Macaca fascicularis: one gene and its partner. The protein of the gene in region 1 purifies or fractionates together with the protein of each later gene. This does not show direct contact. Links are inferred from orthologs where the notes say so. Each region holds a gene or a part of one and is shown in the gene's direction. Other genes may lie near its edges.

What was found.
Region 2: the proteins of RTN4 (region 1) and ATL3 purify together in Homo sapiens (affinity purification with mass spectrometry; 4 studies listed by BioGRID and IntAct, counting the BioPlex papers as one, with this or other methods). This does not show direct contact. The link is inferred for Macaca fascicularis from reciprocal best matches to the Homo sapiens genes RTN4 and ATL3.

What each region holds. Positions count from the first base shown.
Region 1 is NC_088387.1:66,810,750-66,817,168, forward strand, and holds part of RTN4 (reticulon-4), read left to right. Parts: intron 1-2,593; coding exon 2,594-2,650; intron 2,651-3,332; coding exon 3,333-5,735; intron 5,736-6,419. UniProt on the Homo sapiens protein: Required to induce the formation and stabilization of endoplasmic reticulum (ER) tubules. They regulate membrane morphogenesis in the ER by promoting tubular ER production.
Region 2 is NC_088388.1:10,751,088-10,757,506, forward strand, and holds part of ATL3 (atlastin-3), read left to right. Parts: intron 1-3,488; coding exon 3,489-3,703; intron 3,704-3,836; coding exon 3,837-3,980; intron 3,981-6,419. UniProt on the Homo sapiens protein: Atlastin-3 (ATL3) is a membrane-anchored GTPase that mediates the GTP-dependent fusion of endoplasmic reticulum (ER) membranes, maintaining the continuous ER network. It facilitates the formation of three-way junctions where ER tubules intersect.

The sequences.
Region 1 (6,419 bases):
AAAAATGTGTACACATATATATGCACTTTATTTAAAAATCTTATAAGCCATTATGTTACTCCTTTGACTGGATAGCCCATCCTACCTATTGCTCTAGGTTGGAGGAAACCCTTTTAAACACACATCATAAATTTCCTGTCATCGCCCTCATCTAAGAATCCTTTAAATATGACATCATGCCCAGTATATATTTATCTAAAATATATAGGGCCTTGTGAAATTAGCTCTCCTAATTCATTAAGGGTAATACACTTGGAAGGTAAGTCCATATTCATGCTAGCTACATCTCTTGGACTTTTATCTGTTTTGATCAGCCTTGTCTAGCTTGTCCATCCAGATGAAATTGTCTAAATTTATTAGGTTCAATCTGTTCAAGGAATATTACCTTCCAGTCATCTCTCAGGCTCTTACAAATTGTCTTATGGTAGAGGCCTTTCTCTAGTGTAAACTGTAGAAGATCTTTAGCTTAGTGAAGAGGAGGCCTCCCCCTCTACACTTGTGGGTATATCTCGTCAGGTGGGACGAGAGACTGAGAAAAGAAATAAGACACAAAGTATAGAGAAACAACAGTGGGCCCAGGAGACCGGTACTCAGCATACCAAGGACCTGCACCAGCACCGGTCTCTGAGTTCCCTCAGTTTTTATTGATTATTTTCATTATCTCAGCAAGAGGAGTGTGGTAGGAGAGCAGGGTGATAATAAGGAAACGGTCAGCAAGAAAACATGTGAACAAAAGAATCTGTGTCATAATTAAATTCAAGGGGAGGTACTATGCCTGGATGTGCACGCAGGCCAGATTATGTTTCTCTCCGCCCAAACATCTCAGTGGAGGGCAGTTTTTCTCCTATCTCTGAATTGAACAAATGTACAGTCGGGTTTTATACTGAGACATTCAGTTCCCAGGGGCAGGCAGGAGACAGTGGCCTTCCTCTATCTCAACTGCAAGAGGCTTTCCTCTTTAATCCACCTCAGCACAGACCCTTTATGGGTGTCTGGCTGGGGGACGGTCAGGTCTTTCTCATCCCATGAGGCCATATTTCAGACTATGACATGGGGAGAAACCTTGGACAATACCCGGTTTTCCAAGGCAGAGGTCCCTGTGGCTTTTCGCAGTGCATTGTGCCCCTGGTTTATTGAGACTAGAGAATGGTGATGACTTTTGCCAAGCATACTCCTTGTAAACATTTTGTTAATAAGGCATGTCCTGCACAGCCCTAGATCCCTTAAACCTTGATTCCATACAACACATGTTTCTGTGAGCACAAGGTGGGGCAAAGTGGCTGGGGCAAAGTTACAAATTAACAGCATTTAAGCAAAGTAGTTTTTCAGCTGCAGGTCAAAATGGAATTTCTTGTGTCTTCCCTTTCTACGTGGACACAGTAACAGTCTGATCTTTCTTTCTTTTCCCTACAGCTTAGGGTCTCCCATCTGCAGGTTCAAGATGACATTGTACAAAGTTAATATTACCAATATAGAGTGTGTTTGTTAGCTTGGGCTGCTGTAACAAAGTACCATAGGCTGGGTGGCTGAACAGAAATTTACTTTTCACAGTTCTGGAGGCTGGTGAGTCTAAGATCAAGGTGCTGGCAAGGTAGATTTCTTTCTGAGGCCTCTTCTCCTGGCTTATAGGTGACCACCATCTCATTGTGTGCTCACATGACCTCCCCATGCCTGGGGAGACAGGGAGCATGACAGCAAGCTCTCTGGTGTCTCTTCCTATAAGGGCACTAATCCCCTCGGCCCAGGCCTCCCCCCCCAACTGCATTTAACCCTAATCACCTCCCAAAGTCCCCATCTTCAGATACTGTCACATTCCGGGTTGGGGCTTTAACATGAGTTTTGGAGGAGATATAAGCATTCAGTTCTGTAACATACAGTGATTAAGGAAATGGGCTCTGGAATTGAATTGCCTGTCTCTCACTAGTTGTGTATACAAATAGCAAGTAGCCCTCACTTAGGTTAATTTTAAATAACACCAATAATAGTGTCGTCCTAAAGGCAGTTAATTATTATTATTATTTTTTTTGTATTTTGGACTCTGGCATTTGGACGTTGGCACAGGACTAATGTCTTCAAAGAACAGGGTACAATGACTGTAACAACTTAGAATGTAAGAGAAAATGCGTAATTCTTTAAAAGTGTTTTTCTAAATTAAACATACGCCAGTAACAAAAGATTAAACATTTGTAGTTGTTAATTTTATTCAAATTCAGCTTTTTATTTTTGGCTTGAATAGAACAAGACAATTTACCTATATGAAAACCTGAGTGAAAGCTTTGGATGTGATACGTTAAGTAGAACAGTATTTTAAAGCCACTTTGATTCATAAGTTTCTTTAACATAAACAGGTTGTATTGCGTCTTGAAAAATGATAGGTTCTATGGATAACATTTAATTAACTTTATAATATATGTGATGATTTAACCTGAATTAATGGCACTTCTTTTTCTGACTTCCTTTTGATCTTGGCCCTTTCTCTGTAAAGTTTTTTGTTAACTTATTACAAACTGAACCCTGGCTTGCTCCTCTGATCTTTAGTCTCCTTTCAGTCTGTCTTTATTTCTGCTGAGGTTATATTCTATTTGTTTTTCAGATGAGACCCTTTTTGCTCTTCCTGCTGCATCTGAGCCTGTGATACGCTCCTCTGCAGGCAAGTTCTTTTCTGCCAGCCTTTTATCCTCTTTGTATTCTAACTTTAACTTTTTAGTGTGTTAACTCTATGCAGAGTAGCTTGGATTTACTAAAAATTAGCATGGTTCCAAGAATGTCTGTCTACTGGAAAAGTTGAAATTTGCATTTGATATGGTATGCCCAAGGAAAAAATGAGCAAAATCCGATGAACTCTTGGAAGTACATAAGGAATTCTTGGACCCTTGAATTACATTTACATATTTACAATTCCCTTTCTCCCAATATAGTTTGAGTATAGCCAGAAAGACTTTCCTGTAAATAAATACCAGTCTATGGCATTTAATTTCCCAGTGCCCCTTCTTTCCTATACTGTCACTCAAACTCTTTTCGCAGATATTCTTCTCTTCTCTAAAACTAGCTCTTAGTATCTTAGTTGATAACATTTGAGGTTTACTCAGACTTGATTTGTCTTTGCATAGCATGTAATTGCCTCTGTAGCCATGCATATGTTATATTTACAGTAGCTTAATATTTTCAGTAATGATTAAAGTCTACTCTATTGTTACTTATTAATTGCTATTAACATTTCATTTTAATAAACAGTAAGTCTTTACTAACACTATTTTGAATCTGTCATAAAACTTGCATTAACTCTGAGAACACTGGCATTCTCTAACTTTCCTTTCTGTCCATGGTCACAGAAAATATTATGGACTTGAAGGAGCAGCCAGGTAACACTATTTCGGCTGGTCAAGAGGATTTCCCATCTGTCCTGCTTGAAACTGCTGCTTCTCTTCCTTCTCTGTCTCCTCTCTCAGCTGCTTCTTTTAAAGAACATGAATACCTTGGTAATTTGTCAACAGTATTACCCACCGAAGGAACACTTCAAGAAACTGTCAATGAAGCTTCTAAAGAGTTCTCAGAGAAGGCAAAAACTCCACTTGTAGATAGAGATTTAACAGAGTTTTCAGAATTAGAATACTCAGAAATGGGATCATCATTCAATGTCTCTCCAAAAGCAGAATCTGCCATAATAGTAGCAAATCCTAGGGAAGAAATAATCGTGAAAAATAAAGAAGAAGAGAATTTAGTTAGTAATAACATCCTTCATAATCAACAAGAGTTGCCTATAGCTCTTACTAAATTGGTTAAAGAAGAGGATGAAGTTATGTCTTTAGAAAAAGCAAAAGACAGTTTTAATGAAAAGAGAATTGCAGTGGAAGCTCCTATGAGGGAGGAATACGCAGACTTCAAACCATTTGAGCGAGTATGGGAAGTGAAAGATAGTAAGGAAGATAGTGATGTGTTGGCTGCTGGAGGTAAAGTCGAGAGCAAGTTGGAAAGTAAAGTGGATAAAAAAGGTTTTGCAGATAGCCTTGAGCAAACTAATCATGAAAAAGATAGTGAGAGTAGTAATGATGATACTTCTTTCCCCAGTACACCAGAAGCTATAAAGGATCGTTCAGAAGCATATATCACATGTGCTCCTTTTAACCCAGCAGCAACTGAGAGCATTGCAACAAACATTTTTCCTTTGTTAGGAGATCATACTTCAGAAAATAAGACCGATGAAAAAAAAATAGAAGAAAAGAAGGCCCAAATAGTAACAGAGAAGAATACTAGCACCAAAACATCAAACCCTTTTCTTGTAGCAGCACAGGATTCTGAGACAGATTATGTCACAACAGATAATTTAGGAAAGGTGACTGAGGAAGTAGTGGCAAACATGCCTGAAGGCCTGACTCCAGATTTAGTACAGGAAGCATGTGAAAGTGAATTGAATGAAGTTACTGGTACAAAGATTGCTTATGAAACAAAAATGGACTTGGTTCAAACATCAGAAGTTATGCAAGAGTCCCTCTATCCTGCAGCACAGCTTTGCCCATCATTTGAAGAATCAGAAGCTACTCCTTCGCCAGTTTTGCCTGACATTGTTATGGAAGCACCATTGAATTCTGCAGTTCCTAGTGCTGGTGCTTCGGCGGTACAGCCCAGCTCATCACCATTAGAAGCTTCTTCAGTTAATTATGAAAGCATAATACACGAGCCTGAAAACCCCCCACCATACGAAGAGGCCATGAGTGTATCACTAAAAAAAGTATCAGGAATAAAGGAAGAAATTAAAGAGCCTGAAAGCATTAATGCAGCTGTTCAAGAAACAGAAGCTCCTTATATATCTATTGCATGTGATTTAATTAAAGAAACAAAGCTTTCTGCTGAACCAACTCCAGATTTCTCTGATTATTCAGAAATGGCAAAAGTTGAACAGCCAGTGCCTGATCATTCTGAGCTAGTTGAAGATTCCTCACCTGATTCTGAACCAGTTGACTTATTTAGTGATGATTCCATACCTGACGTTCCACAAAAACAAGATGAAGCTGTGATGCTTGTGAAAGAAAATCTCCCTGAAACTTCATTTGAGTCAATGATAGAACATGAAAATAAGGAAAAACTTAGTGCTTTACCACCTGAGGGAGGAAAGCCATATTTGGAATCTTTCAAGCTCAATTTAGATAACACAAAAGATACCCTGTTACCTGATGAAGTTTCAACATTGAGCAAAAAGGAGAAAATTCCTTTGCAGATGGAGGAGCTCAGTACTGCAGTTTATTCAGATGATGACTTATTTCTTTCTAAGGAAGCACAAGTAAGAGAAACTGAAACATTTTCAGATTCATCTCCAATTGAAATTATAGATGAGTTCCCTACATTGATCAGTTCTAAAACTGATTCATTTTCTAAATTAGCCAGGGAATATACTGACCTAGAAGTATCCCACAAAAGTGAAATTGCTAATGCCCCGGGTGGAGCTGGGTCATTGCCTTGCACAGAATTGCCCCATGACCTTTCTTTGAAGAACATACAACCCAAAGTTGAAGAGAAAATCAGTTTCTCAGATGACTTTTCCAAAAATGGGTCTGCTACATCAAAGGTGCTCTTATTGCCTCCAGATGTTTCTGCTTTGACCACTCAAGCAGAGATAGGCGGCATAGTTAAACCCAAAGTTCTTATGAAAGAAGCTGAGAAAAATCTTCCTTCTGATACAGAAAAGGAGGACAGATCACCATCTGCTATATTTTCAGCAGAGCTGAGTAAAACTTCAGGTAATCCAATCTATATGCATTTTGTGCTTTCATACCACTTTTTGACTTAGGGAACATTCCACTACATTTTGTGTTTTATGTTATGTTTATAGTGTCTAATATGTCACATTGATAAGAAGTCTTCTCCACTTTCTCACTTAAAGGTTGTAGTGGTTTTTCTAACTCTCTTGCACTCAGCATTCACCCTTAACTTTTCCACACAGTTACACTTTTATAATGCACTATGGAACTATTAATAGAAAATATTTCTGTTTATAAGAATTAACTTTAGTACCTATTTATTTATTTATTTCACTTGTTTTTCTTGATAACATGAAGAGCAAGAGATATTAAAATATTTTCAGATGTGTTTTTGTTATCCCAGAAATTATCATATTTAATTTTTAAAGAACATTTCTGTAGCATGTTTTAAATATTTCAATATAGTATAGTACTTTTCCAGTGGTAGGTATAAAGTTAGGCATATTGAGTGTAGACTTTTTGTTGAAAAGTATAAATTGAGTTATGCTTTATGAATTATTTTGAAAAGTACCAATTCTCCTTTTTTTCTTTTGACTATCCATTTTACACATACCTGATTTGCATAAGGTGATTTGCACATGTGCTCTTTATTAGTATTCTGATTTGGCTACGTTTTCTCTAAAATAGTGATTAGGATAAATTTACTGAATATGCTTATGTATG
Region 2 (6,419 bases), on another chromosome or scaffold:
TAGACAAAGTCATTTTGGAACCATCTTTGTGATTTTGGCCATGTCTGCCTGTCAGTACTAAGCTTTACTTAATATGTCTCCTCAAGTCTACTTTAGATTGACTTCTTGACTGGGTATGGTGTCGCTGTAATCCCAGCACTTTAGGAGGTTGAGACAGGTAGATCATTTGAGCTCAGGAGTTCAAGACGGTCCTGGGCAACATGGTGAAACCCCATCTCTCCAAAAATACAAAAATTAGCTGGGTATAGTGATGAATGCCTGTAGTCCCAGCTACTTGGGAGGCTGAGGTGGGAGGATGACTTGAGCCGGAGAGGCGGAGAGTGCAATAAGCTGAGATAGTGCCACTGTGCTCCATCCTGGGTGATAGAGCCAGACCTTGTCTTAAATAAATAAACAGACTTGTTAAATTTAGCATCCTTCTAAAGAATAATTTATTAAAATACAGATTTGTTGTTTTAAAGTATACATTAAAATGCATAATTATTAAAATTACTATGTCCTTTTAACTACCTAAAAACATCTTTAATACCAGTGACACTCACACTTAGGGAAATAGTTCTTTATTCACTCCTTAGGCCCCAATGGTAGTTTTTTGTAAACTTCCCGTAAGTCCACAGCTACTAAGTGTCTCTGAATTTCTTTCTTTCTTTTTTTTTTTTTCTTGAGATAGAGTCTCGCTCTGAAATCTAGGCTGGAGTGCAGTGGCACGATCTTGGCTCACTGCAACCTCCACCATGCAGGTTCAGGCAGTTCTCCTGCTTCAGCCTCTGGAGTAGCTGGGATACAGGCGCGCACCACCATGCCTGGCTAATTTTTAGTAGAGACAGAGTTTCACCATTGTTGGACCAGATTGGTCTTGAACTCTTGACCTCAGGTGACCTGCCCGCCTTGGCCCCCAAAGTGCTGGGATTACAGGCATGAGCCACCACGCACGGCCTGAATGAATTTCTTTTTTGCTTTCTTTTCTTTTCTTTCTTTTTTTTTTTTGAGACGGAGTCTCACTCTTTCTCCCAGGCTGGAGTGCAGTGGCGCAATCTCGGCTCACCGCAACCTCCACCTCCTGGGTTCAAGGGATTCTCCTGCCTCAGCCTCCTAAGTAGCTGGGATTACAAGCGTGCACCACCACGCCTGGCTAATTTTGTGTTTTTAGTAGAGACAGGGTTTCTCCATGTTGGTCAGGCTGGTCTGGAACTCACGACCTCAGGTGATCTGCCCGCCTCGGCCTCCCAAAGTGCTGGGTTTGCACAGGTGAGCCACTGCGTCCGGCCCCTTGCCTTCCCTTCCCTTCCCTCCCCTCCCCTCTTCCCTTCCCTCTTCCCTTCTCAAGACAATCTCTCGCTGTATTGGCCAAGTTGGTCTTGAACTTCTGGCCTCAAGCAATCCTCCCATCTCAGCTTCTCTAAGTGCTAGGATTACAGGCGTGGACGCTGTGGCTGACCTGAATTTCAAATTAATTATCTTTGTACTTTGGTAGGGAAACTGGTAAGGAAAGTATAATACTAGTTAGTGCTTATTTTTGAACTACAGAATTAATTGCTTCTAAAACTTTTTGAGTTATTACTAGTGATATGCAAAACACAACCACCTAAAGATCTTTTTGAGCTTATTTCTAGGAACTGTTGGGCACTATGCTGAACCTTCATAAGCCTTCATTTCCTTCTTTTTTTTTTTTTTTTTGAGACCTCTCTGCCACCTACGCTGGAGTGCAGTGGCGCGATCACGGCTCACTGCAGCTTCTGCCTCCCGGTTCAAGCAATTCTCCTCCCTCAGCCTCTTGAGTAGCTGGGACCACAGGCATGTGTCACCATGCCCGGCTAATTTTTTTTTTTTTTTTTTTTTTTTTTTTTTGTATTTTTAGTAGAGACAGGGCTTTACGATGTTGGCCAGGCTGGTTTTGGACTCCTGACCTCAAGTGATCAGCCTGCCTTGGCCTCCCAAAGTGCTGGGATTGTAAGTGTGAGCCACTGAGCCTGGCCATTTCCTTCTTTTTAAAATGAAGCAATATTATTTACATCAGAGTTGTTCTGAGGATTAAATATATAGAAAGCTTAGCAGTGGCAAACACACTATTATTGATAGACATTGTTTTATTTCCACTTTTGGACTGTTTTGAGTAAAGCTGATAGGAACTTTCTGTTTTTAAGATAGAGTCTTGCAATATTGTCCAGGTTGGTCTTGAACTCCTGGGCCCAAGTAATCCTCCTGCCTCAGCTCTCCAAGTAGCTGGGACTACATGTGCGATCCACCATGCCCAGCTCAACATTCTTGTATATATGTTTTTTGGTGGACGTAGGCATTCATTTCTCTTAGGTGTATAACTTGGTGTATACCTTGGAGTAGAATTGCTGGATCACAGATACATTTAATTTTTGTGGATACTGCCAAACAGTTTTTTGAAATGGCTTTAGTATTTTGTGCTCCTATCAGAATGTGTGAGAATTCCAGTTGCTTCATACCCTGTCCCACAGTTGATATTGTCAGTCTTTTAAATTTTAGCCATCCTGATGGGCAGGTAGTGGTATCTTACTGTGGTTTTAATTTACATTTCCCTGTTGAGTAATGATATGGAAGTACCTTTTAATAGGATTTGTATGTCTTTTTCTTGCAAAGTGCCTGTTATTTTTTCTTGTGGATTGCTATGTTGATGCTGGATGTGGGTCCTTTGGAAATAGATATTATGAATACTCTTCCCTAGCCTGTGACTTGCATTTTTACTTATTGAAGTCTTTAAATGAACACAATTTTTAATTTTAATGAAGTCTGTGTTGTCATTTTATTTTCTTTTATGGTTAGTACTTTTTTTCTTTGAGACAGGGTCTTATCTGTTGCCCAGGTGGGAGTGCAATGGTATGATCTCAGCTCACTGCAACCTCTGCGTCCCAGGTTCAAGTTATTCTCATGCCTCAGCCTCCCGAGTAGCTAGGACTTACAGGTGTGTGCTACCACACCTGGCTGATTTTTGTATTTGTTGGTAGAGATGGGGTTTCGTCATGTTGGCCAGGCTGGTCTTGAACTCCTGACCTCAAGTGATTCACCCACCTCGACTTCCCAAAGTGCTGAGATTACGGGGGCGAACCACCGTGCCCCTGCCCTTTTATGGTTAGTACTTTTGTGTCTGTTTTTTGTTTCTTTTAGTTTTGTCACCCAGGTTGGAGTACAGTGGTGTGATCATAGCTCACTGCAACCTCAAACCCCTGGGCTCAAGCAGTCTTCCTGCCTCAGCCTCTGAATAGCTAGGACTACAGGTGTACACCACACCTGGCTAATTTTTTAAATTTCATAGCGCTGGGTTTCACTGTTTCCCAGGCTAGTCTCAAACTCCTGGCCTCAAGTAATCTTTCTGCTTTGGTTTCCCAAAGTGCTGTGATTTTAGGCATGAGCCACTGAGCCTGACCCTGTCCCCTGTTTAAGAAGTTTTTGTTTTCCCCGTATTCAAAAACATATTTTAAATATTTGACACTAATTTTTTTTTCTCTACATGAACATAGGTGATGCCATGGAGAGCAGCAAGCCTGGTCCAGTGCAGGTTGTTTTGGTTCAGAAAGATCAACATTCCTTTGAGCTAGATGAGAAAGCCTTGGCCAGCATCCTCTTGCAGGACCACATCCGAGATCTTGATGTGGTGGTGGTTTCAGTGGCTGGTGCCTTCCGAAAGGGCAAGTCCTTCATTCTGGATTTTATGCTACGATACTTATATTCTCAGGTAAGATAGAATTATTTTATTTCAAGTAAAAAGTGAGACTTGAATGTCCAAAAAAGCAAAATAAGCTCATAGATTATTCTTGATGCATAAAATTTTTAATTTAAGATTTAATGGAGATTTCTTACTTCTGTAGAAGGAAAGTGGCCATTCAAATTGGTTGGGTGACCCAGAAGAACCGTTAACAGGATTTTCATGGAGAGGGGGATCTGATCCGGAAACCACTGGGATTCAGATCTGGAGTGAAGTTTTCACTGTGGAGAAGCCAGGTGGGAAGAAGGTAAGGATGAAAATGACCTTACAGATTAACAACAGCAACAACAACAAAATATGAACTTCAGCATGTACTGTGTTAACCCAATTAAAAACCTTTTATCAAAGAATTTAAAATCGGTAAAGAAAAGTTAAAAAGTCCCTGTTTTGTCCTGAAATTTTAGTCTATTGCGGAAAATAGGATTTTCTGACACAGATATGAGAAGTTGTAGCTTTGATATCTAGCTGTAGTCTCCTTGGTCTGCTAATTGCTTTATTTTAATTTTCTTTTCTGGAAAAACATTTTTACTAAAAGCTATACAGATTTTCTCCTTTGCACCTAGCAGTACTTTATGTAGTATTGCTTAGGGCCATGTAGCATTTTAAGACTCAATTAAAAAATATTAATCTGTTGCTGACTCTGCTAATTCCCATTCCAACATGTGCTTCCTTGAATAATTCAGGATACAACTTATTGTGTATGACAGCTTTCCTTCACACACAATTTTTGTGGGTGTGTGTATATTTGACTTGGGGAGAATTTAAAAAACACATAGCATTTTAATTTGTTTGAAACAGACCTTCTGCCTGTTACATTTTGTGCTCTTAACCAATTAAAGAAGCCAATGGCGGCCGGGTGCAGTGGCTCACACGCCTGTATTCCCAGCACTTTGGGAGGCCAAGGTGGGCAGATCACAAGGTTAGGAGTTTGAGACCAGCCTGGCCAACATAGTGAAACCCTGTTTCTACTAAAAATACAAAAAATTAGCTGGGCGGGTGGGCGCCTTTTCAATAAAAGGAAGGAAGATGTGAAAACAACTTTTTATTAAAGCGAATGATTTAAAATTAATACATATTGATTGTTTTTAGATTTTTAAATAAAATGCATGAATATAGTTTAAAAGGTCAAATACTACTGTAAGGCTTCTAACAGAAAGCAACTGTCATGTGTGTTATTCTCCTCTCTGCCCAGTTTTCACTTTTCAGAGGCTGATGCTCTTATGTGTTACCACTTCTGTTCTTTATTTCCTTACTCCTGTATGGGTGGCACAGACCTGGGCGTTGTTGTTCTGGGAGTTGAGCAGGGAAATGACATTGGGGATCTCACTGTTCAGAAGGTGGGCATTCACTACCCCCCAGCTGTCAGTAGGGCTTCTTACCCCCAGTCTCATCCATGCCTTATAAGCTATGGGCATAGAGCCTCTCCACAGATTTCTTTGTAAGGATCGGGAGGGGTAAGTCATGTGTTTCTTACACAGACTTTTATCCATCACTTCTGTTTTTAGCCCAGTCCTATAAGCATGCCCTAATGCCTGTTTGTGCTTTTTTTTTTTTTTTTTTGAGGCGGAGTCTCGCTTTGTCGCCCAGGCCGGAGTGCAGTGGCGGGATCTCGGCTCACTGCAAGCTCCGCCTCCTGGATTTACGCCATTCTCCTGCCTCAGCCTCCTGAGTAGCTGTCCCGCTCTGTTGCTCAGGCTGGAGTGCAGTGGCACCATATTGTCACTACAATCTCTGCCTCCCAGGTTCAAACAATTCTTCTGCCTCAGCCTCCTGAGTAGCTGGGACTACAGGCACACACTATCATGCCTGGCTAATTTTTGTATTTTTAGTAGAGACAGGGTTTCACAATGTTGGCCAGGCTGGTCTGGAACTCCTGACCTCGTGATCTGCCTGTGTCGGCCTCCCAAAGTGCTGGGATTATAGGGGTGAGCCACCACGCCAGGCCACCTTTGATATTTTGAAGTGCTGGTCTGTTGGTACTGAATTCTTTTAGCTTTCATACATCTGAAAAATCTTTATTTTGCCTTTGTTTTGGAAAACATTTACTCTTAGTATAGAGTTCCAGGCCAAAGTATTTTTCTCAGTACTTCAAAGGTGTTGCCCCTTTGCCTTTTCGCTGACATTGTTTCTTTTCTTTTTTGTTTTGAGAGGGAGTCTCGCTCTGTTGCCCAGGCTAGAGTGCAGTGGTGGGATCTTGGCTCACTGCAACTTCTGCCTTCCGGGTTCAAGCAATTCTTCTGTCTCAGCCTTCCGAGTAGCTGGGACTACAGGCGTGCACCACCACGCCCGGCTAATTTTTGTATTTTTAGTAGAGATAGGGTTTCACCATATTGGTCAGGCTGATCTTGAACTCCTGACCCCAGGTTATTCACCTGCCTCTGCTTCCCAAAGTGCTGGGATTACAAGCAGGAGCCACTGTACCCAGCCTGCTGACATTGTTTCTGACAAGAAATACACTGTTATTCTTATTTTTGTTCTTTTGTACCTAATATGACTTTTTTGTCTGGTTGCTTTTTTTCTTTAAATTAAAAAAATTTTTTTTTTTTTTTTTTTTGAGACGGAGTCTCACTCTGTCGCCCAGGCTGGAGTGCAGTGGCCGGATCTCAGCTCACTGCAACCTCTGCCTCCTGGGTTTACGCCATTCTCCTGCCTCAGCCTCCTGAGTAGCTGGGACTACAGGCGCCCA